Canis lupus familiaris: one gene and its partners. The protein of the gene in region 3 binds, or shares a complex with, the protein of the main gene of each other region. Links are inferred from orthologs where the notes say so. Each region holds a gene or a part of one and is shown on either strand. Other genes may lie near its edges. The genes, in order: TAB1, CASP7, XIAP, RIPK2 and CASP3.

Region 1 (4,177 bases), on a different chromosome or scaffold from region 3:
GATGGCTAAACCTAATGGAGTTTCTTCAGTAATCTAACTAGAGCTCTCAAAAGTATGTTACATTTTGCCCACGCCCTCCTCCCCCTGGGTTCTATGTAGCCTCTGCTTCCCCTGCCTCTCCAGGCCTTGCTCCTGCTCCTTCACTGTTGTCTTCTCTAGTCCTCTCCATTTCAGGATTGACTTCTTTTCCTACATGTCTTAAAAGCACCTAAACTCAACACGTCCAAACCGAACTCAAGGCCATTCATTCCCTTCTCCCACTCCCCAGGATTTTCTAGCTGTTCTTTCCAGAAATCTGGGGGGAATCTCTGACAAACCTCTTCCCATCATCAACCCCAACCAATCCATGAATCAAGCCCTAACAATTTCATCTTCTACATAAAATCCATCCACTTGGCAGTGGCAGCTGACTCAAACCACTATCATCTCTTATCTCTTGCCTTGAGCAGACACAACGGTCCCTTAATTGGTCTTCACTTCAATACTCCTAAACATCTGTTTTGTCCAAAGTAGTCAAAGGGATCTTTCTACCAATGGGATCATGTCCCTGGCTTGCTCAGAAGTCAACAAGTTTCCTTTGTCCTCCGCATGAATAGCTCAACTCCCAGTCTTGGGCAGGCAAGGTCAGCCTTCGTCTCATTCAACCTTTCATCTGTGTTCCAGCCACAGAGACCTTCTGTGACATGCATGCGTCTTGAACGCACACTCACACGCTCCCTTTTCTCGTGCCTCGTGCACTAGCTGTCTGCCCTCCATCCCATGCCACATCCATAAACTTTTCTTCCTAGCATTTAGCCCACCTCGAAAATGATTTATGTACGTAAACGGTGTCCTCCCCAATGAAAACAGTAGCTTTCGGAGAGTGTCTTTCCTGCAGCTTCATCCCTATAGGGCCAGGCATGGCCACCTAATGAATATTGATGGAGTAAATGAATAATTCACCGGGCCCCAAACCCTAAGTGTCCATAAAGAACCCAAATCCTAGGAATCCCGGGTGGATCAGAGGTTTAATGCCTGCCTTCAGGCCAGGCGTGATCCTGGAGACCCGGGATCGAGTCCCACACCGGGTTCCCTGCATGGAGCCTGCTTCTCCCTCTGCCACACACAGTCTCTGCCTCTCTTTCTCTCTGTGTCTCTCATGAATAAATAAATAAAATCTTAAAAAAAAAAAACAAAAAACAAATCCGGTGTCTGAAAAGCATCCTGGAGAAAATGCGCAAATAAAATGGGCGAGAGGCAACCACTTAGGCAAGCCCTCCCTCTTCCCTCTTCCTCCGGGAGAGAAAGGGCAGAAGACGGCGCCTGCGCACACTCCCCGACCGCCCCATCCCCCTTCGGCCGCGCGGTGGCGCTGCGCGCGCGCTCCCGGCGGCGCGATCCTCCCGGCCGGCTTCAGGCCGCTCTAGCCGCCCTTCTCGCCTGCTCTGCTGGGAGGCGGGCGCAGCCGCGGGGGGTCCCTCCAAGATGGCGGCGCAGAGGAGGAGCCTGCTGCAGAGTGTGAGGAACCGAGCGGCTCCCCGGGCTGGGGGTTGGGAGCCCGAGGGGGCCCTGTCGGGTGCAGGCGCCGCTCCCTTCGGCCTGGCGAGGGGTGGCCGCCGCCCTCCCCTCTCCCGGGCCGGCCCCCCCTCACCTCCGAGGCCGGGGAGCGCGTGCAGCCGCGCGAGGCCCGCGCGTGCGCGCTGCCGCCGGCCGTCGGGGGCTGGGACTCGCGGTGCTGCGACCCCGAGCGTCGAGGGCGCGTGGAGGGCGGGGAGCGCCGTGCGCGCGGCGGCGGGGTGCCGGGCGGGGAGGCTAACCTCCCGGGTTTCCTGCCAGTTGCTTTACGTTGTAAGCTTAATTTATGTAACAGCCCCGGGAGGTTCCCGTTTGACGGGTGAGGAAACTGAGGCACAGAGGCGCAGTCCCTTGCCCAAGGCCGCGCAGCCAGTAAGTGGCAGTGACCCGAGTGGCAGCGGGTTCTGGTCCCGGCTTGGACGCACTATGCCTCAGTTTCCTTCCCTGTCACTGAGACTCCTCCCCCCCCCCCGTCCGGACCCTCGCGGGTCTGCAGCCGCTGCGTCCTCCTCAGGTGCCCAGGGATGCACACACACCTGGGCGCCCGGCGCCTGCACTGCCCTGCGCGCGGGGGTGCAGCTTCCCTGGACCCTCCCCAGGTGGGGGCCGGCTGTTGCGCCTGCCTGTGGACCGGTGCCTACGAGGAGTTCCAGCAGCACTTATCACAGGGTGCCAGGCACTCAGTAAATAATTGTAGAAAAGCCTTCGCAGCCATGTCCAGTGCCTGGCCGTGGCCTCACAGAGGTGCAGCAGACATTGGCCCTCCTGCCCTTGAGGGTCTTAATTAAGGCATCAGAGTCGGAGGGAGGGGTGACCTGCAGTTCTGCACACTAGTGACAGGCTTCGTGTAGGCTGTCTTTGAAATTGGTCTCCCGGTGAGGATTGCTCCCCTCCTCTGTTAGCCGCCCCTTTATTGGGCTGGTGCTCTGCCTGTCACCTCGTCATGGAGTTAGATAGTCCTGGTCCTCTGCTTTGTAAGCTTCCAGAGGGCAGAGCCTCTGCCAATTTCCCATTGTGAAAATCCCAGGAATACAAGCAGGACTGTAGTGAATGCTGGAAGTGGGAACTACTGTGGGGCGGCTTGGCTTGGTGAGGAGAGTGACTTCCAGCTCCTTCTCTTCTGGGTGTGATGGGGCCCAGAAGACTCAGGTTAGACAGAAGCTTTGCTAGTGCCAGCTCGTGTTCCTGGGTAGAAGTGGAAACTTTTAAAGACAGGATAATTAGCTTTAAGCGCATAGTATCGTGCTGAAGGGTAAGAGGATGGTAGCAGTGTCCACATGAGGCCCCTCTCACCCTAATGATGATCAAGCTATCTCTGCTCACAGGGTGTCTGAGTGTCCAGCAGTGTGTGATTGTCCAGGCTCGCTGACCTCTCCACTGGCCTGAGTCTGGTAAGGGCAGCTCAGATAACATCATTGAACAGAGGGCTGTAAGGGCTACTAGGCTGTGGTTGCAGGGCCTGGGGACACAAAGATAGGTAAAGTGTGTGCGCACCCTCAGTGCGTTTGCAGCATAGGAGGAGGAGCCACCTACCACTAACATAAGGAGGAAGGCACTGGGTTGTCAGTGTTGAGGGGCTGTGGGTGGCCTGATTTGACTGGGTCAGTGGAGGCTTGCAGGGAGGCCTGGGGATTTGCTGCCAACATGGTGCTGGGAGGGTGTGCTGGGGCCAGATGGCAGAGCATTGAGGAGTTTCACCTTTGGTCCCCAGCCAGCATGGTACCTTAAAAGTCTTTTTTTTTTTTTTTTTTGGTACCTTAAAAGTCTTGAAGAAAAGAAGAGCTTTTGAAGATAGCTTGATGTGTCCAAAGGAACTTGGGCCCTTCACAACCTAACAAAAGTACAAGTCTCATATGGACTGGGGCAAGCCACTTAACATCCCTGAACTTTGGTTCCCAAGAGAAAGGACTCCCAGGAGCATTATTAGGATTCACTGAACTAACACATTACAGTCCTGGCCTCACATGGTCACAGACCAGCATGAAGTTTCACCTTTGGTTCTGAGCACTTACCATGTGGCAGGCACAGTGTAGGTACAGGGGACACTTTTCCTCATGAAGCCTCTGTTCTAATGAGGGAGACAGTAACGATGAGTAAATACAGATTCTAAACAACACAATATCTGTAGCATCAGGTGTTGTGAGAATAGTCTGGATTCAGAGAATGGTGGGGGGAGCCTTTTAGAGTGATAGGGGAAGACCCTTCAACATTTGATGGGATGAAGTAGGGGATTTGGGAGGGGGTATTCCTGCTTGAAGGAATAGGGCTGCAAAGGCGTATGTGTTTGGGGAGTGCCAAGGAGGCCAGCGTGGCTGGAGTACGTGGTGGGGTGCGGTGGTAGCCAAGGTCCCAGGGACCTTACAGACACTGTGGACTTTGGATTCTATTCTAAGTGTGTTGTGAAACTGGGTGCTTTTTAGGAGGGCTGTATTTTGGAGGAAGAGCTGTTAGGATTTGCTGGTGGATCAGATGTGGGGGGGCCTGACAGGGGAAGAAGATTCTAGAAGCACTGCAGGGCTTCAGTGCTCTTTACTGGGATAGGGAACCCTGGAAGAGGAGCACATTTGAGGCTGGGAGAATCAAGAGTTTGGTTTTGCCTGTGCTACTCTGTACTTAATTATAA
Region 2 (4,211 bases), on a different chromosome or scaffold from region 3:
CCCACATCGGGCTCCCTGCATGGAGCCTGCTTCTCCCTCTGCCTGTGTCTCTGCCTCTCTCTCTATGTCTATCATGAATAAATAAACAAAATCTTTTTTTTTTAAAAAGTGTCCTTTCTTCTCAGAGCCTCAACGCGTCATTAGTTAATTAGTTGCTGTCCCAGAGGCGTCTTGGAGAGAAAGGCATTGCAGGCGCCGGCTTCGGCCCAAGGGTGAAGAAAGGCAGAGTGCGGGGCTGTGGGAGCAGCAGCCGGGCGGGGGGCGGGACCAGGGGCGTGCAGGCCCCGCCCGCGGTGGGCCGGGTCACGGCCCCATGCCCAGTGGCCGGCACTTGGGGGCGCTCACTACTCTGGAGGGACCTCCGGCAAGTTCGCCGCGCTGCGAGGCGGGAGCTCGCCACCCGAGAGCGGAGTTCGAGTCCTGCCGCCCCCGCGAGTGGACACCGCACGCCCACCGGCGGCTCCAGGCCGGCCCCGGAGACGGGGACTCCAGTGCTGCGGGCGCCGAGCACCCCCTTCCCAGGGTCGGGGGCCCGGCGGGGGAAACGCCGTCTGGCTGTGGGAACGGGGTCCCCGCGGCGGGTGCGGAGGCCCGAGTGGGGGTGCGGACGGGGGCCGCAGCGGGAGGGGAGGAGGCGGGGAGCCCGGCGGGCGCCCGGTCCTCGAGCGCCGCCGAGTCCGCGGGGCGCGCTCTTCGGCGCGCGGCCGGTGTGCAGAGCGCGCCCCCGGGTCGCTGCGGGCGCCGCCGCGGGCTCAGCAGGTGCAGGTGCTCTCCCGGGGCTGCGGGAGAACTCTCCCAACTCTCCGAGGGCGCCGTCCGGGGGCGCGGCCAACTGCGCCCGGGCGCCTGCCACGTCCCCGGCCACGCGCGCGGCCCGCCGCGTTCTGCAGGGCGCGGGCGCGCGTGGGGGCGGGCCTCGGGGCGCGCGAGACACCTCGGGGAGAGCGCGGCCGCGGGAGCGGGAGGAGGTGCCCCGGCCCCGCCCCCGGCCACGCCCCCGGCCACGCCCCCGGCCCCGGCTCCGTCCCGCCCGGAGGACTGGCCGCGCGACTCCGCCCCCGGGCCCCGGCCCCGCCCCCAGGCCCCGGCCCCGCCCCCAGGCCCCGGCCCCGCCCCCAGGCCCCGCCCCCGGCTCCGCCCCAGACCCCGACCCCGACCCGCCCGGGGGACTGGCCCGCGCGACTCCGCCCCCCGGGCCCCGCCCCCGGCCCAGGCCCCGCCCCCCGGCCCCGCCCCCGGCCCCGGCTCCGTCCCGCCCGGAGGACTGGCCCGCACGACTCCGCTCCCGGGCCCCGGCCCCGCCCCCAGCCCCGCCCCCGGGCCCCGCCTCAAGCCCCGCCCCCGCCTCCAGCCCCGCCCCTTCCCAGGCCCCGCCCCGACCCCGGCTCCGCCCCCGACCCCGCCCCGCCCCGGGGACTGGCCCGCGCGACTCCGCCCTCGGCCGCCCGGGCTTTCACTTTCGCTTTCTTGCGGGCGGCCCCAGACCCTATCCGCGGAGGGACCGAGACGGACGCCAGCCCCGCCGCCCGCCGCCCGCCGCTGCGGACACGGTAACCTCGCGGCCCCCCTCGCGCCGAGTCCGGGGAGAGGGCCCGGCCCAGCTCGCTCCGCTCCGCCCAGCCCAGCCCAGCCCAGCCCAGCCCAGCCCAGCCCAGCCGGCCCTCGGTTCCCTGCTGGCCGCGGGCCGGGACAGCCCTGCAGCTCGGCTTTTGGGAAAGGGGGCGTGGAGGGAGCCGGGAGGGAGGGGGTGGCGGTCTCGCCCGGCTGACCGCGAGCGCCCCGCTGTCGGACCACCCTGGGCGCTGGTCCCCGCGCCGCTCTAAGTCAGCCGCGGGCCTCGCTGTGCCCGTCTGTCAAATGGGAACGGTGCTGATCGCGGCCTGGGGGGCGCCGGGAGGATGGAAGTTGGTCACCGGTGCATATAGCAGGAGGGCCTGGGTCAGGGCTCAGTGTGCAGGAGCTGCTGACCTCCTGCCTGGGGCCGCTGGTGCAGGGCCCTTGAAGATCTCTTGAGGAGGTGAAAAAAACAGGACCACAGTCGACCTTGCAACCTTTCACCGTGTGTTCAAGTTTATCGTAACGGAGCAGTAAAATTACCTGTGGGTTACTCTGTGTGGGCCATGCTCAGGCTCTTCCCTTGAACTCTTGCTCTGGTGGACTGTGTGGCCCTGTCCTTTATTTACTTACAGCCTATTTCCTCCTTCAGGGGCTGCTGACCTTCAGCCCCTATGAACAGCCCTCACCTGGGTTCATAATCCACCTCTGCTTCCTGTTAGTTGTGTGGCCTTGGGCAGGTTACTTAAACTCTCTGAAGAAACCCAGGTTTCTTCTGCAATGGGCAGGGGCTCCAGCCTCCTAGCAGTGCTGCGAGCCTCTGGTGACAGGGGTACCCAAGTACCAGGGGCGCCTTCTCCAAGTGCCAAAGGTGAAAGGTCCTCAGGGCTGCTTCTCTTTGAGCCTTTTAGGGAGATTGTCTTCACTGGGGCAAGAGTGGGGGCAAGTTGCGTTATGCCACTTTTCAGAGGAAGTAGATGCAATGAGTCCTCCCACTCATGGAAAAAAAGTTCAGGATATAGCCAGAAGTGATTTCCTACCAGATATGTACCAGTCGCCTATTAAAACATGTTTAGGAACAATCACCAGAGAAATATTTTTTCATTCTCTGTAAAAGCTGCTTAAAATATCCGTGAAGGTTGGCAGTTGAATGTGTTCTTGGTCTTGAGTTCTGCTGACAGTGGCGATAATAAGGAATGTTTATTGAACATCTAGAATGTGCTATACTGTACTTAGTACTTTACATGCGTTTTTCCATTCATCTCACAGCCTGTGACTTAGGCATCATTATCTTCCCAATTCACAGATGAGGAAGCTGAGGCTCAAAGAAATTGAGCCCCTTTGTTCAAGGTCCCATGGCTAGTAGATGGAGGAGCCAGTTTAATCCCTGATCTGCTCTTCCCATGACTGGGCTCTCAACTTGGTTGTGTTCTCTGTCCTGTGTCAATAATTTATTCAGACACTGAATGATTTAAACATTTTAAGTATATTTTAATTAAAACATTTATTAAAAAAATATTTATCGGGACAGCTGGGTGACTCAGTCAGTTAAGCATTCAACTCTTGATTTCAGCTCGGGTCATGATCTCAGGATCCAGCCGCTGCATCAGGCACGGCACTGGGCATGGAGCCTGCTTAAGATCTGTCTCTCTGCTCTCCCTTTGCCAATTCCCCCCATCCTTCTCTTAAAAGAAAAAAAAAGAAAGATTTATTTATATTTTTTTAAGATTTTATTTATTTATTCATGAGAGAGACAGAGAGAGAGAGAGAGAGGCAGAGAGGGAAGCAGGCTCCATGCAGGGACCCTGACGTGGAACTCGATCCCGGGTCTCCAGGATCATGCCCTGGGCTGCAGGCGGCGCTAAACCGCTGAGCCACCAGGGCTGCCCAAAAGAAAGATTTATTGAGTGTCCACTATGTTCTGTCCAGAACTTTTCTATAACTGAAACAAAAAAGGGTAATTAAGATACACTCTAGTTGAGATACACTCTCTGTTCGCAAAGAGTTCGAATCTTACTGGATACTAATGACAATAAGGATGACAAGAGCTAACCGGGAGTGCTTACGTGGAGCTCCTGGCAGTGCTAGTGCTTTATGTGCATCACGTACTGATTCATTTAGAGAGAAGATCGACACGTGTAATTGAAGACAGATGCGCTGTTGGATGAGCAGGAGCACTTGTGTGCTGACTGTTCTTTATGGCCTGAACCCTAAAAGAGGATGAACACTGGAAAACAACACTAGGCCTGCCCCATCTAGGCACAGCAGAGCTGAGATAGATAGATTTTCCTGGTGGGCTCTGAGTATGAGTGGAAATACAGGGTCAACACCACATCTTGGCTTGGCTGAAATGATGTGGCCGACATCAGGCACCCTGCTGGGTCAGCACCCTTGTTCTGGGTGAACTTGATTTTCCCCAGAAATCAAGCCTGGCCTCATGGGAGTAAGAAAGTCACTGAATGTTTGCTGTCACCCTACACAGTGCTCAGCATCAATCCAGAAAGAAGCTGTAGGTTTCAGACGGAAGACCCTTCTTGCCTAGTGTTTGGGGGGAAAGCTCATGGAAAGCCTCCCACACTGAACCATAGAAGTGAGACTGAATTTTATGTCTTGGTAGCCAAGTCCAAAGTCCCCTCCATGTGGCTGGGAAGGACAAG
Region 3 (4,150 bases):
TAAATTTAAGATTTAATTTTTTAAATAGTTTAATTTTGTTTAGAGGATTAACCAACTACACACTCTGAAGGAACTCCTTAGGCTTTCAACCTTTCCTTTTAAGGCTTTTTAAGCTTAAGATTTATTTTCAAACAATCGCTCTGAAGTTTTAAATTGTACTAGTTTGTAGGTCAAAAATTTTACATCACTTATATGTATGAATATTTTTAAAGAAACAAGATGACAAAGAGACAGAGTATGTTATTATCATTCTAAGATGCCACTGATTATAAGAAGGATGATTATTTTATGTACCACCGCTGCCAATTAAATTATGACCCACCACCAGATGTATCATTTCAAAAATTTGAAAATGTGAACAATTGTGTGTCTTATAATCAGAGAGATACAGTAAAATTTGCTAGGGGATGTGATGGGTTCCAAGGAAAAAATCCTTGGCAACAAGGGCTCTCCCGTGGTCATTGTGAAAGAGCCTACTTCTAACAACAAAACTATATATTCCTAATTAGTGTTTAGAAATAGAATAATTTGAATGTCATATATATAACATATAAGCAATGAATGCTTTGGTCACCAGAGAAGGCTTAGGGCCTTTTTTTTTCTATAAAGTAGGTGACCCCATTTTTATAAACTTGGTGTGAATTGCAAGCCATAGTGAAGGCAAAAATAGTTAGGTGAAAAGTTATTCAAGATTTTCCTGACTGCAAAGTGTCTAACTTGCCTGTTCCTAAATAAACATTTAAATACCTTACCCTGGAAACCACTTAGCATGTTGTTCCCAAGGGTCTTCACTGGGCTTCCAATCAGTTAGTCCTCCTCCACAGTGAAAGCATTTTACTTTATCACCATCCCCTAAGAAGAGACACAAGTAAAAATACATGTATTTGTGCAATTAGAAGCCTATGCAAAAATGCCCCTTTAACACCATGAAATTAACCATTTTAAATTACATGAGAATCTCAGCTTCAAAGACGACATTCAAATTCACATTTAAATAACAGCCATGACTGTTTGAGGAGGGAATACACACTAAATTCACTGATTCAATTTGAGGTATTTTACAGAAGACAAAATAAATTGACCAATTTTTATGTGAAAAATTAAAATTGTTATCATTTGGGTCTACCAATACTACACTTTTTCAAACTGTGAAACTTTAACAATAAGGCTCAGGTTAACAAAATTACAAAGTAAGTTTCTCTAGGGTTATAGCTACATGACACTAAACAAACCTTCAAAATTGCTACAGGATACTATGTGAATAAAATATTGAAATAACTAATATTTTGTATTTTGGCACTACTCAATCCTAAAGCTAATGAGTCAGATATATGATGGTATAACTTTTCTGAATATTCCTGGAAGTCATCACACTAAGGGCCCTTCCTGACAAGTTTACAGTAGTCCATTTGAGAAGTGCTTATTTAAAAAAAAAAAAAAAAAAAAAAAAGAGAAGTGCTTATTTGAAGCAAAAAGGCATACAGGGCAGCTTTCAAATATAAACTCTATGTACAAAAGGCAGGTATCAATTTTAATATCAGCCAAACTAAACTCTCTAATGTTAACTCTTTTTATGAGGTATAGAAAGAATGCATGTGATACATGTACTGAGCACATACAGTAGGTGCTCAATAAATTATAGTTTATATTACTGTCAGACCCATTCTTCTATCTGGGAGATCTATCATCTTTTGCATGTAATCCTTCTCCAAAAAAACAAAGATAAATATAACTCACAATATAGTAGTCCTTTTTCACATAAATGTAGTAGTTACACTGCAAATTCAACATAAAGGTTCACAGATTAATCATGCCAGCCTTTATTTACCAGTTCAGGGGGCTAAAGGAATCCACTTTTTAGGGGGACTGGGATAGTTGGAAAGTTATTTATTAGCCTGGTTTTATAATAAAGTTTACCTAAAGAATAAAATCCAGCTCTTGCAAGTTGCTCCTTGTTAATTGAACACATCCACATCCGAAAAGTAACGATCCGTGCTTCATAATCTGCCATGGCTGGATTTTCTGGAATACTTGTTGAATTTGGGACGTTCCTATCAGTACTCGCAACATCAGATTCACTTCGAATATTAACATTCCGGCCCAGAACAAAGAAGCAATTAGGAAAGTGTCGCCTGTGTTCTGACCATGCATTATCACACGGTTCCCAATTTTTCAGTTTTCCACCACAACAAAAGCACTGCACTTGATCGTCAATACCTGTGTAGTAGAATCCAGCACTAGCTAACTCTCTTGGGGTCAAGTGGACATAGTCTGGCCAGTTCTGAAATGAGTTTAATCTAGCTTCTTCACTATACATGGCAGGGTTCTCCGGGTATGTGGTGTCTGATATATCTACGACCTGTCCAGTTCTCAAAAGATAATCTGCATGAGTCTCAGATGGTCTGTCTAAAACAAAATGATCTCTGTTTCTCAGATAGTTTTCTGCATTATATTGACCATTTTGGATACCTGGATTTGTAGGTTGTGCAGCAGTGTTTTCAAAATAAAAGCCATTGATAAATCTGCAATTTGGGGATACTTTCCTGTGTCTTCCAACTGCTGAGTCTCCATATTGCCATCTATCTATTGATGCATGACAACTAAAGCACCGCACAGTATCTCCTTCACCAGTATACAGAAAACCAGCTCGTGCTAACGTTGATGCTGAAACAGGACTGCTACTTGGAAAATTAGCAAAAGTTTTTAATCTATTAAACTCTTCTACAAATTCTTCATCCTTATTGATGCCTGCAGGTACACAAGTTTTAGCTCCTTCAAAACTGTTAAAAGTCATCTTCTCTTGAAAATAGGACTTGTCCACCTTTTCTGAAAAGAGAACATTACATTAGAAAATTCAAAATCTGAAACACAGGCAATATAATTTTGATATTAGGAGCTAACAAATTACCTGATGACATAAAATTAATTACACAATCTCTAAAAAAAACATTCTAATTCCAAATACTAGAGCTCTGCATTATATGATTCAAGCTTTATAAAGTAAAAACCAGCATTTTCATTTTCTGGAGGAAAGTAATATTCAAGCAGGTAGAATAAAACTGTTCTTTAATTGATTACTTTATGTAAATATGGAAACTGTGATACAGAATATATTAAAATTATTAACCATGTAAAATTATTAATTAGGAAAAACAAAAGCATAAATTATGCAGATTATTAAACTCTATGCATAATTGTTATAATAGATCATTATATATTCAAGCCATCAAAGTTCAGTTTTTCAATTTAAAAAAAATGTTCAGAATGTTAATGAATTAATTTTTATTATTTCTTTACTTTTCTGCTTAGCAAAAGGTATTTGAGTTTTACTCACAACACTGGTTCCAATATGAGCATCGAGTGTTTAAGAGCACTTGAGTGTTTCTGATTTTCATGCATATGAAAATGGGACTCCTGTAGTCCATTTTCTGTGGGAATTGGATCATTTCGGATGTATATATTACTGCCCTCTAGAGGGTAGCTCAGGAAAGATAGTAAGTATGTATAGACCTTAATTGCAGTAAGTTTTGCTATCAACTTCCCATGGTCGAAAAATGATCTGTTCAAATGGAAGAGAAGTACTACTGCAGCCTCATTAAAATTGCCACATTATAGCTGTGTAACATATAACCGAAATAAAATACTAAAGGAACTAGGTGGGTTATGAGAAGGGTGGCCAGATAATTTATCCTCCAAACCTGGACACTTTGGAAAGTGAAAAATGATGCTACTAATAATTACACTAGGACAACAGGGATAAATCAGGGTTGCCCCAGGCAAACCTGATTCTCTAGAATCTCGCACTATTCCTAATACTGTGTGTGCTCAGTATATGTTTGGCAAAAAAAAAAAAAAGAAAAAGAATGGTCATGATAATTCTGCCTCTACTTCATATGTCAATTAATTGATTTCTTGGGAAGAATTAGCAGCCCTGGCATTATGTTAGCACAATATGTCTTGGAACATCATTTCAGTGTAATAATGTTCAACACAAGTCTTGCAGGGTGGCAATAAACTTCAGTCTTTCCTGGTCTTGTCAATTTACAATGGTAGTAATTCATATATACCGCAAGAGCAGAGATATATCTGCATAGAACTATTTTTGGAAGATAGTCTCCATGACTTTTCATTATTGTTTCCCAGATGTCTG
Region 4 (4,142 bases), on a different chromosome or scaffold from region 3:
CACCAGACCAGGAGGCTTGCTTTAAAAGCAAACGAAAAGCAAAATAAAGCGAAAAATCTTAAGTCGGGTACGCTCTGAATAGATAATATATTTATACGTTTGAAAATTCAAGAGTTACAAGAGGTCCTAAAGTAAAAAGCTTTTTCCTTCTCCCTTTCTTCAGCCACTTAACACCCCAACTGTGAGGCAACCAGTGATATGTTTATGAGACCTGTCTTGATTAAACTCATCTTCTCTAAATTTAAGGAGTTCTGTGATTGCCTCAAAAGATGGAAGTCAACAAGAGCTACATCTTACTGTTCAGCATACTGGAGACAGAGAACGGATTTGAAAATTTCTAGGTATACTGGAAAAAAAAAAACACTATAGAGAGAGCATGCTGGCGAAGTCTCAGTGATACTTATATACCTGTTCTTTCTCACATTAAGAGTATCAGGCATTCTTCCTTCTATTGTGATCCTATTATGCGTCAGCCACTTTATATGCACTAGCACCCAAACACCAACCTTCTAAAGCTGGTTACCTTATCACCCCTTGAAATGAGGGCACTGAGGCTCAGATACGTTAGTTAGAAAGGCCTTCTCTATAAGGCCAACATTAAATGGCAGGGTTGCAATCAGGTTTGAATTGCAGTTGTGGGACTCAAAGCCTGTGTTCTTTCCATTCCACTGCTTGATGGGAGGAAGGAAAGGATCAAGGGAAGTTCTTGAAGTCAGATTTCGGGAAGACTGAGTGAGAGGCAAAACAGAAAAAGCCAAAAATAAATAGGTCTAAGACAGGTTTTTATATTTCTAAAAAAAAAAAAAAAAAAAAATGTAAGACACAGCTTTTTAGAGGCATATCACCAAAATTACCCAAATCAAAATTTCAGTCACAGGGTGTTTGAACAACTGATCAGACTCATCTACACAGAAAGAGTCAGGAGATGGTAGGGGAAGGCCCACTCATTGGGCAGAAGTCACTAAAATAAGAACACATGACTGCACATAAACTTGTTTTTCTTTTCCTTCCTTCCTTCTTTTTTTCTTTTCCCTTTCTTTTCTTTTCTTTCCTTCCTTTCTCTCTCTTTCTGAACAATGCAAACATTTTCCACACCGGAGCCAAAGTACATACAATTATTATTCCCACTTTATAAGTGAGTAAATGGACACCCTGTGAGTCAACTGCATAGCTCAGTCCACTGCTCAGATTGCATAAATACTGTGAATGCTAAGATCTTAGGTAACAGGTAGGGGAAAGAACCTGATGCAATAATGCCAAAGGATTTAACTGGTCCTTACGGCCTCTTTGACCACAGAATTCCCTACTAATTTACTGAAGAGTTTCAGGTTATGAAAATTGTTGCTAAGAATAGAAAAGGGAACCCCCTCTTCATTCCTTTGATCTTCAAATAGCACACAACTGGGATACACTGAACTCTTGAGGAGCAGCTTCCAAGATGGCCAGATGAATTTGCTGTAGAATACGTAACGGGTCCATCAGGGTTAGTTACCCATAGATTTTCATAGCTGATTCTAAAATACGATCACCCTTTCTAACCAATCACCACCCTTCAAACTTGACTACGTACATGTACCCACCTTTGCCCAGCACTTGCCCCACAGAACTCAAGGCCCAGGCGAAACAGACACCACATCTTATCTAACACGAGACCTGGATTGTGATCATATAAAGAGTGGGAACAATTTCTAGAGGTGTCTCAAATTTACTGTGAGATCTCACCCATCCCAGCCTGATAGCAAGAAAGCAAAGAAAAGCTACAGGCTGATGAAAGCCCCATAAATTCACAGGGCTGAAGCTGAGGAATTTATCTGCCATTGGATACTAATGGCCCCTGACCAATCAGACACCCGGCGTGATGAATTGGGATATTAGGTACGGGGGGGGGGGGGGGGGGGGGGGGAGAGGAGGATGTTGCAATCATGGATGTTAACTCACTAAGGACTGAATGCAGGGCCTGGTGGAGTGGAAGGAAAATATGCAAGACCAATGACTCTAGGAAGGAAAACACGCAAGACTAATGCCTAGACCCACTGACCAATAGGTTGGATCACAGGGCAATGGTATAGGATTGAGATGCTTCTCTGGAAGCAGAAACTGCTGGCTTTCCCTGACAACCTAGCCGGTGCACGGAAATTGTTCCAGGATGCGAGTGGCGTTCAGAACTCCTGGAACAACGCGATTCAGCGTATTGTTCGCAAACTAATACCCACACGACCTCTGGGGGGACCAAGGCCTCCCTGACCGAGTGAGAGAGGAACTGAAGCGAGTGGAGCGTGGAACCTAAACTTTCAGGACCCTACGTAATAAACCACAAACCAAGCCAAGCCCACCGCAGCCCCACACCGAAGCACCCCGGCTTTTGGCGTCTGGAGGGAGGGAGCCCAGGACTGGGAGGGAAGGAGGAGGAGACGCAGAGGGCAGCGGAGCGGGCAGAGGAAGGCGACGCAAGCATCTCCAGGGAAGCCGGTGCCCCCCCCCGCCCCCGCCCCCGCGCAAGGCCCGAGCCCCGGAGGGCTGCCTGGAGGCGGCGGGGCCGCAGAGCTGGCTCGCCCGGGGCTCCGCGGGGCGCCCTACCTGTCGCGCAGCGGGCTGTGGATGTGCAGCTGCTTCACGGCCACCTGCACGCGCCAGTCCGCGTGGCGGGCGGACGACACGGTGCCCGACGCGCCGCGGCTCAGGTAGCGCAGGTCGGCGAGCTTGCGGCAGGGGATGGTGGGCAGGGCGCTGCGGGGGCCCTCCCGGCTCATGGTCGCGGGCGCGGCCGCTCGGGTGTGCCCGCCGCGGCGGAGGCTTCCGGAGAGGCTCGGGGGCGCCGCGCTCGGGCGGGGGGCCGGGGCCGGGAGCTGGGGCCGGAGGCTGCAGCGGGAGCTGGGGGCGGGAGCCGGGGGCCGGAGCCGGGGCTGGAGCTGGGGATGGGAGCGGGAGCCGGAGGCTGCAGCGGGAGCTGGGGCCGGGAGCCGGGGCTGGAGCTGGGGATAGGAGCGGGAGCCGGGGATGGGAGCGGGAGCTGGAGCTGGAGCTGGAGCTGGAGCTGGAGCTGGAGCTGGGGAGGGGAGCGAGAAAGGGGGAGGAGGCGGGAGCTGGAGTGGGAGCCGGAGAGGGGGGCTGGAGCTGGAGCGGGAGCCGGAGCTGGAGCCGGGGCTGGAGCGGGAGCCGGGGCGGGAGCTGGGGAGGCGGAGCGGGAGCTGGGGAGGGGGCTGGAGCGAGAGCCGGGGCTGGAGCGGAGCGAGAGCCGGACGGGAACGGGAGGCGGAGCGGGAGCGGGAGCCCGATGGCAGCCGGAGCCGGAGCCGGAGCCGGAGCCGGGGCGGCCGGGCCCTTCCCGCGGCGGGGCACTAGGTGCCCGGGCAGCCCATGCCCGCGCGGCGCACGCCAGCCGCCGCCGCTGTCCCGCAGCGCGAGCGGACTCCTCTTCCCGGGGCCGCCGGCCCCTCTGCGGCGCCTGCGCGTGGAGGCGGCGCCCCTCCCTCCGCGAGCCCCTCCCTCCCCGAGCTGCCCCCGTGACGTCACGGCGGGCCCCGGGCGGGGGGGAGGGGGGGGAGGGGGACGTCTGCGTCACGGGGGGGGGGCGCCCACGGCTCGGGGCGACACCTGCGGGCGGGGCGGGGCGGGGGCCGCTGGTCCGTCCTGCCTCCGCCCGACGAAGGTTCCTCGCAGCCCGCAGCCCGCAGCTCGCGGGCCGAAGGGCCAACGGGGCCTCCCCGCGGGGACGGAGCGCGCGGGACCCCGGGCCGTGGGGGGCGGGGGGCGGGGGGCGGGGCGCGGCTGCCGCCTGTGCGCCTGCGCGGGGAGTGGGCGGGGCGGGGGCGGGGAGGGGGCGGGGCGGGGGCTCAGGTCTCCTGCCCACCTGGACGCCGCACCTGGGCGCCGGGCTCGGCTCGGGTGCTCCTCTCCTAGGGACCTACTTTTCTATCTTTCTCTGTCTTTTTCTTCTCTCTTTCGTCCGTAACTCTATGGAGGTGGAAAAAGTGGCTTTGGGAAGTCAGTCCCTCTGGCTCCAGGTAAGACCTGCGAAAATTCCCTTCTCAGTCCCGGAGAACTGGGAAGAATGCAGCTCTTTTTTTTTTTTTTTTTTTAATGCAGCTCATTTTTAATGTCCACCCTAAAACAACCAAACATCTTTCCTTTTTTTTTTTTTT
Region 5 (2,407 bases), on a different chromosome or scaffold from region 3:
CTGATTTTAATACACAATCATTAAGGTAAAAACAAACAAACGTCCACCAGCATTACTAGCCATAAAAAGAAAATAACCACCACCTCTCATTTCAGGGGAGACGATGCTGGACGAGGGGAAAGTGTGCTGTGCATACACCTCTGCTTTAGGCAAGGAAAAAAGTTGTGGACTACCTTCCCTGCTGAAGGATGGTGAGCTCTCTTTTTCGGTTTCCCTTCTCACAGGGAGGAAGGGAAACATGCAAAAGATCAGAGGCCAACGGATAAGAAGCACCACTGTTAAGTAGCATGGTGTTGTAGTCAGATCATGGTTTATTCAAGAAATATATCGCTTACATATGCACAGACATTTGGGTGTCCTAAATTTGTCTACAAGGCATCTGAAAAATATGATAGAGACATCAAAGAGTATTCAAAAACTCCAAAAAGGGGAAAGCAATGTATTTATTGTACTAATTTTCAGATTAACTATCAGATTTATTGCTTCTAATTTAGAAGTACTTTACCTGGAAAAATGTCTTGAGGTTCAAAAGAAATCCTATTGAGCATATTTTAAAATGTAACATTGTTTAACCTCACATTTATTTGTCCTCTATTTGCAAACTTTGTGAAACCCTGAGTCAGCTATATAATAAATAAATTGCAAGAGCAATCAATATTTATTGATCTGAGGACATAAAAACATAGAATGACCTGGTTCTTTTCCCTCATGACACTTTGCCCTCCTACATGCTATTCAGGTTTATTTTTATTATTATTTCCTATCTTCCAAAGGATTCCTGGAAAATGTACTAATCTCCTATTCTAAGAAGTGGACAAGCTCTGCCAAATACCAGACATGACAAGAAGGCACATATTGTACACCATGTTACAAAATTACAATACATTATTCTATATTAACAATATAGTCTCCTATCTGGCATTAAGTTCCTGAATGACACAGTGGAAGTAAGCTTTCTTATAAATGCACATTTTACAGCCAGACAGTTGCTAAAGACAACTTCCTGATGCTTCTCTGTAGCTAAGGTAACGAAATACGGATCAGTTAGCTGTTCATGAATATCAAAATCGTGATAGCCTTTGGAACACTGGTTTTGTGTTTAAAATCTCCATGTAATGTTCATTATTTGTAACTGTCTTACCAGGGGCTGTAGAGTAAGCATACAAGAAGTCCGCTTCGACTGGTATTTTCTGACAGGCCATGTCATCCTCAATTCCACTGTCAGTCTCAATACCACAGTCTAGTTCTGTACCTCGGCAGGCCTAGAGGTTAAAAGATAAGTGTTTAGGGGTATGTGGGTAGCTCAGTGGGATAAGCGTCTGACTCTTGATCTCAGCTTAGGCCTTGATCTCAGGGTCATGAGTTCAAACCCCATGCTGGGCTCCACACTGGGCACGGAGCTTACTTAAAAAATATCAAGGCTGTGTAAAAATGGAGGTTAACTATGAAGAGTCTTTTTGATCCAAGTCTAGCATGAACATTTATTCTATATCTAATGAGTGATAGTTTAAATGAATAAAAAAGTCACAGTAGTTCAGTAGCTTCAGTGGAAAAAATAAATCCATTGGTTAATCCACAAATGAGCAAATTAATCCCCAATTAATTCTCAGTAATTAATTCTAGTTGTTTAGTCATAGATTACCTGAATAATGAAAAGTTTGGGTTTTCCAGTCAGACTTCTACAGTAATCTCCTCGGAAGAAACCTGTTACTTTTCTCAGGTCAACAGGTCCATTTGTTCCAAAAATTATTCCTTCATCCCCATGGCTTAGAAGCACGCAAACAAAACTGCTCCTTTTGCTATGATCTTCTTTAGAGACTGGAAAAATGTTTACAAGTAAGGAAAATAAACAAAAAAAACCAACACAGCTTCATTTACCAATCAATCTCCAATTAAACTGTACAGGAGTAAGGTGAAGAAACTTGAGGACAGAACTGAGACATCACTGCAACCCAAGTTGGGGCAGGTCAATATACCTCAAAATCACTTTAGGAAATTAAAAAAAAAAAAAAAAAAAAAAAAAAGGGCAGCCCGGGTGGCTCAGCGCCACCTTCGGTCCTGGGTGTGGTCCTGGAGACCTGGGATCGTGTCCCACGTTGGGCTACCTGCATGGAATGGAGCCTGCTTCTCCCTGTGTCTGTGCCTCTCTCTCTCTCTCTGTCTGTCTCTCATGAATAAATAAATAAAATTAAAAAAAAAATCACTTTAGGGAGGTGACACGAATAACTTTTATTTTACATATATAAAATGTAGAATTATGTAGAGTATGGTACCACAGTTCTTTATAATTACAGCTACACTGTAATATAAAATTAGACAATGAAGGTAGGTCACTCTTTTAATTATTTCTTACCACTGTTCATTAATTCCAAAATTTCTTCGCATGTGAGATCATTTTTATTTCTGA

What was found.
Region 1: the proteins of XIAP (region 3) and TAB1 are in contact, whole or in part, in a crystal structure (PDB 2POP), measured with the Homo sapiens proteins. The link is inferred for Canis lupus familiaris from reciprocal best matches to the Homo sapiens genes XIAP and TAB1. Residues at the interface, in NP_001158.2 of Homo sapiens: Phe33, Ala34, Ser38, Gly39, Pro41, Ser43, Ala44, Ser45, Thr46, Arg49, Tyr75, Ser78, Ala79, Val80, Gly81, Arg84, Phe92, Ile93, Gly95, Tyr97, Leu98; in NP_006107.1 of Homo sapiens: Glu99, Ala100, Arg103, Thr201, Gln202, Leu203, Glu212, Asp213, Phe216, Arg217, Gln220, Arg241, Glu269, Glu271, Ile272, His273, Ala275, Gln276, Pro277.
Region 2: the proteins of XIAP (region 3) and CASP7 are in contact, whole or in part, in a crystal structure (PDB 1I51), measured with the Homo sapiens proteins. The link is inferred for Canis lupus familiaris from reciprocal best matches to the Homo sapiens genes XIAP and CASP7. Residues at the interface, in NP_001158.2 of Homo sapiens: His136, Ala137, Leu140, Leu141, Gly144, Gln145, Val146, Val147, Asp148, Ile149, Ser150, Asp151; in NP_001218.1 of Homo sapiens: Tyr230, Trp232, Arg233, Ser234, Pro235, Gly236, Arg237, Trp240, Glu274, Ser275, Gln276, Asp279, His281, Phe282.
Region 4: the proteins of XIAP (region 3) and RIPK2 are in contact, whole or in part, in a cryo-EM structure (PDB 8AZA), measured with the Homo sapiens proteins. The link is inferred for Canis lupus familiaris from reciprocal best matches to the Homo sapiens genes XIAP and RIPK2. Residues at the interface, in NP_001158.2 of Homo sapiens: Lys208, Asn209, Trp210, Glu211, Pro212, Cys213; in NP_003812.1 of Homo sapiens: His136, Asn137, Met138, Thr139, Pro141, Ile208, Asp278, Glu279, Arg280, Ser282, Lys285.
Region 5: the proteins of XIAP (region 3) and CASP3 are in contact, whole or in part, in a crystal structure (PDB 1I3O), measured with the Homo sapiens proteins. The link is inferred for Canis lupus familiaris from reciprocal best matches to the Homo sapiens genes XIAP and CASP3. Residues at the interface, in NP_001158.2 of Homo sapiens: Ala137, Leu140, Leu141, Gly144, Gln145, Val146, Val147, Asp148, Ile149, Ser150, Asp151, Thr152, Ile153, Tyr154, Asn226, Leu231, Gly232, Arg233, Asn234; in NP_001341706.1 of Homo sapiens: Tyr204, Trp206, Arg207, Asn208, Ser209, Lys210, Asp211, Trp214, Gln217, Lys242, Thr245, Glu246, Phe247, Glu248, Ser249, Phe250, Phe252, Thr255, Phe256.

The regions. Positions count from the first base shown.
Region 1 is NC_049231.1:26,615,931-26,620,107, reverse strand, and holds the start of TAB1 (TGF-beta-activated kinase 1 and MAP3K7-binding protein 1), read left to right. Parts: upstream 1-1,377; 5' UTR 1,378-1,464; coding exon 1,465-1,497; intron 1,498-2,879; exon of another isoform or gene 2,880-2,945; intron 2,946-4,177. UniProt on the Homo sapiens protein: Key adapter protein that plays an essential role in JNK and NF-kappa-B activation and proinflammatory cytokines production in response to stimulation with TLRs and cytokines.
Region 2 is NC_049249.1:24,894,846-24,899,056, forward strand, and holds the start of CASP7 (caspase-7), read left to right. Parts: upstream 1-1,406; 5' UTR 1,407-1,550; intron 1,551-4,211. UniProt on the Homo sapiens protein: Thiol protease involved in different programmed cell death processes, such as apoptosis, pyroptosis or granzyme-mediated programmed cell death, by proteolytically cleaving target proteins.
Region 3 is NC_049260.1:96,092,465-96,096,614, reverse strand, and holds the start of XIAP (E3 ubiquitin-protein ligase XIAP), read right to left. Parts: upstream 2,803-4,150; 5' UTR 2,795-2,802; coding exon 1,918-2,794; intron 853-1,917; coding exon 753-852; intron 1-752.
Region 4 is NC_049250.1:35,924,797-35,928,938, reverse strand, and holds the start of RIPK2 (receptor-interacting serine/threonine-protein kinase 2), read right to left. Parts: upstream 2,805-4,142; 5' UTR 2,751-2,804; coding exon 2,578-2,750; intron 1-2,577.
Region 5 is NC_049237.1:46,865,723-46,868,129, reverse strand, and holds part of CASP3 (caspase-3), read right to left. Parts: coding exon 2,354-2,407; intron 1,819-2,353; coding exon 1,643-1,818; intron 1,263-1,642; coding exon 1,142-1,262; intron 956-1,141; exon of another isoform or gene 96-955; intron 1-95. UniProt on the Homo sapiens protein: Thiol protease that acts as a major effector caspase involved in the execution phase of apoptosis. Following cleavage and activation by initiator caspases (CASP8, CASP9 and/or CASP10), mediates execution of apoptosis by catalyzing cleavage of many proteins.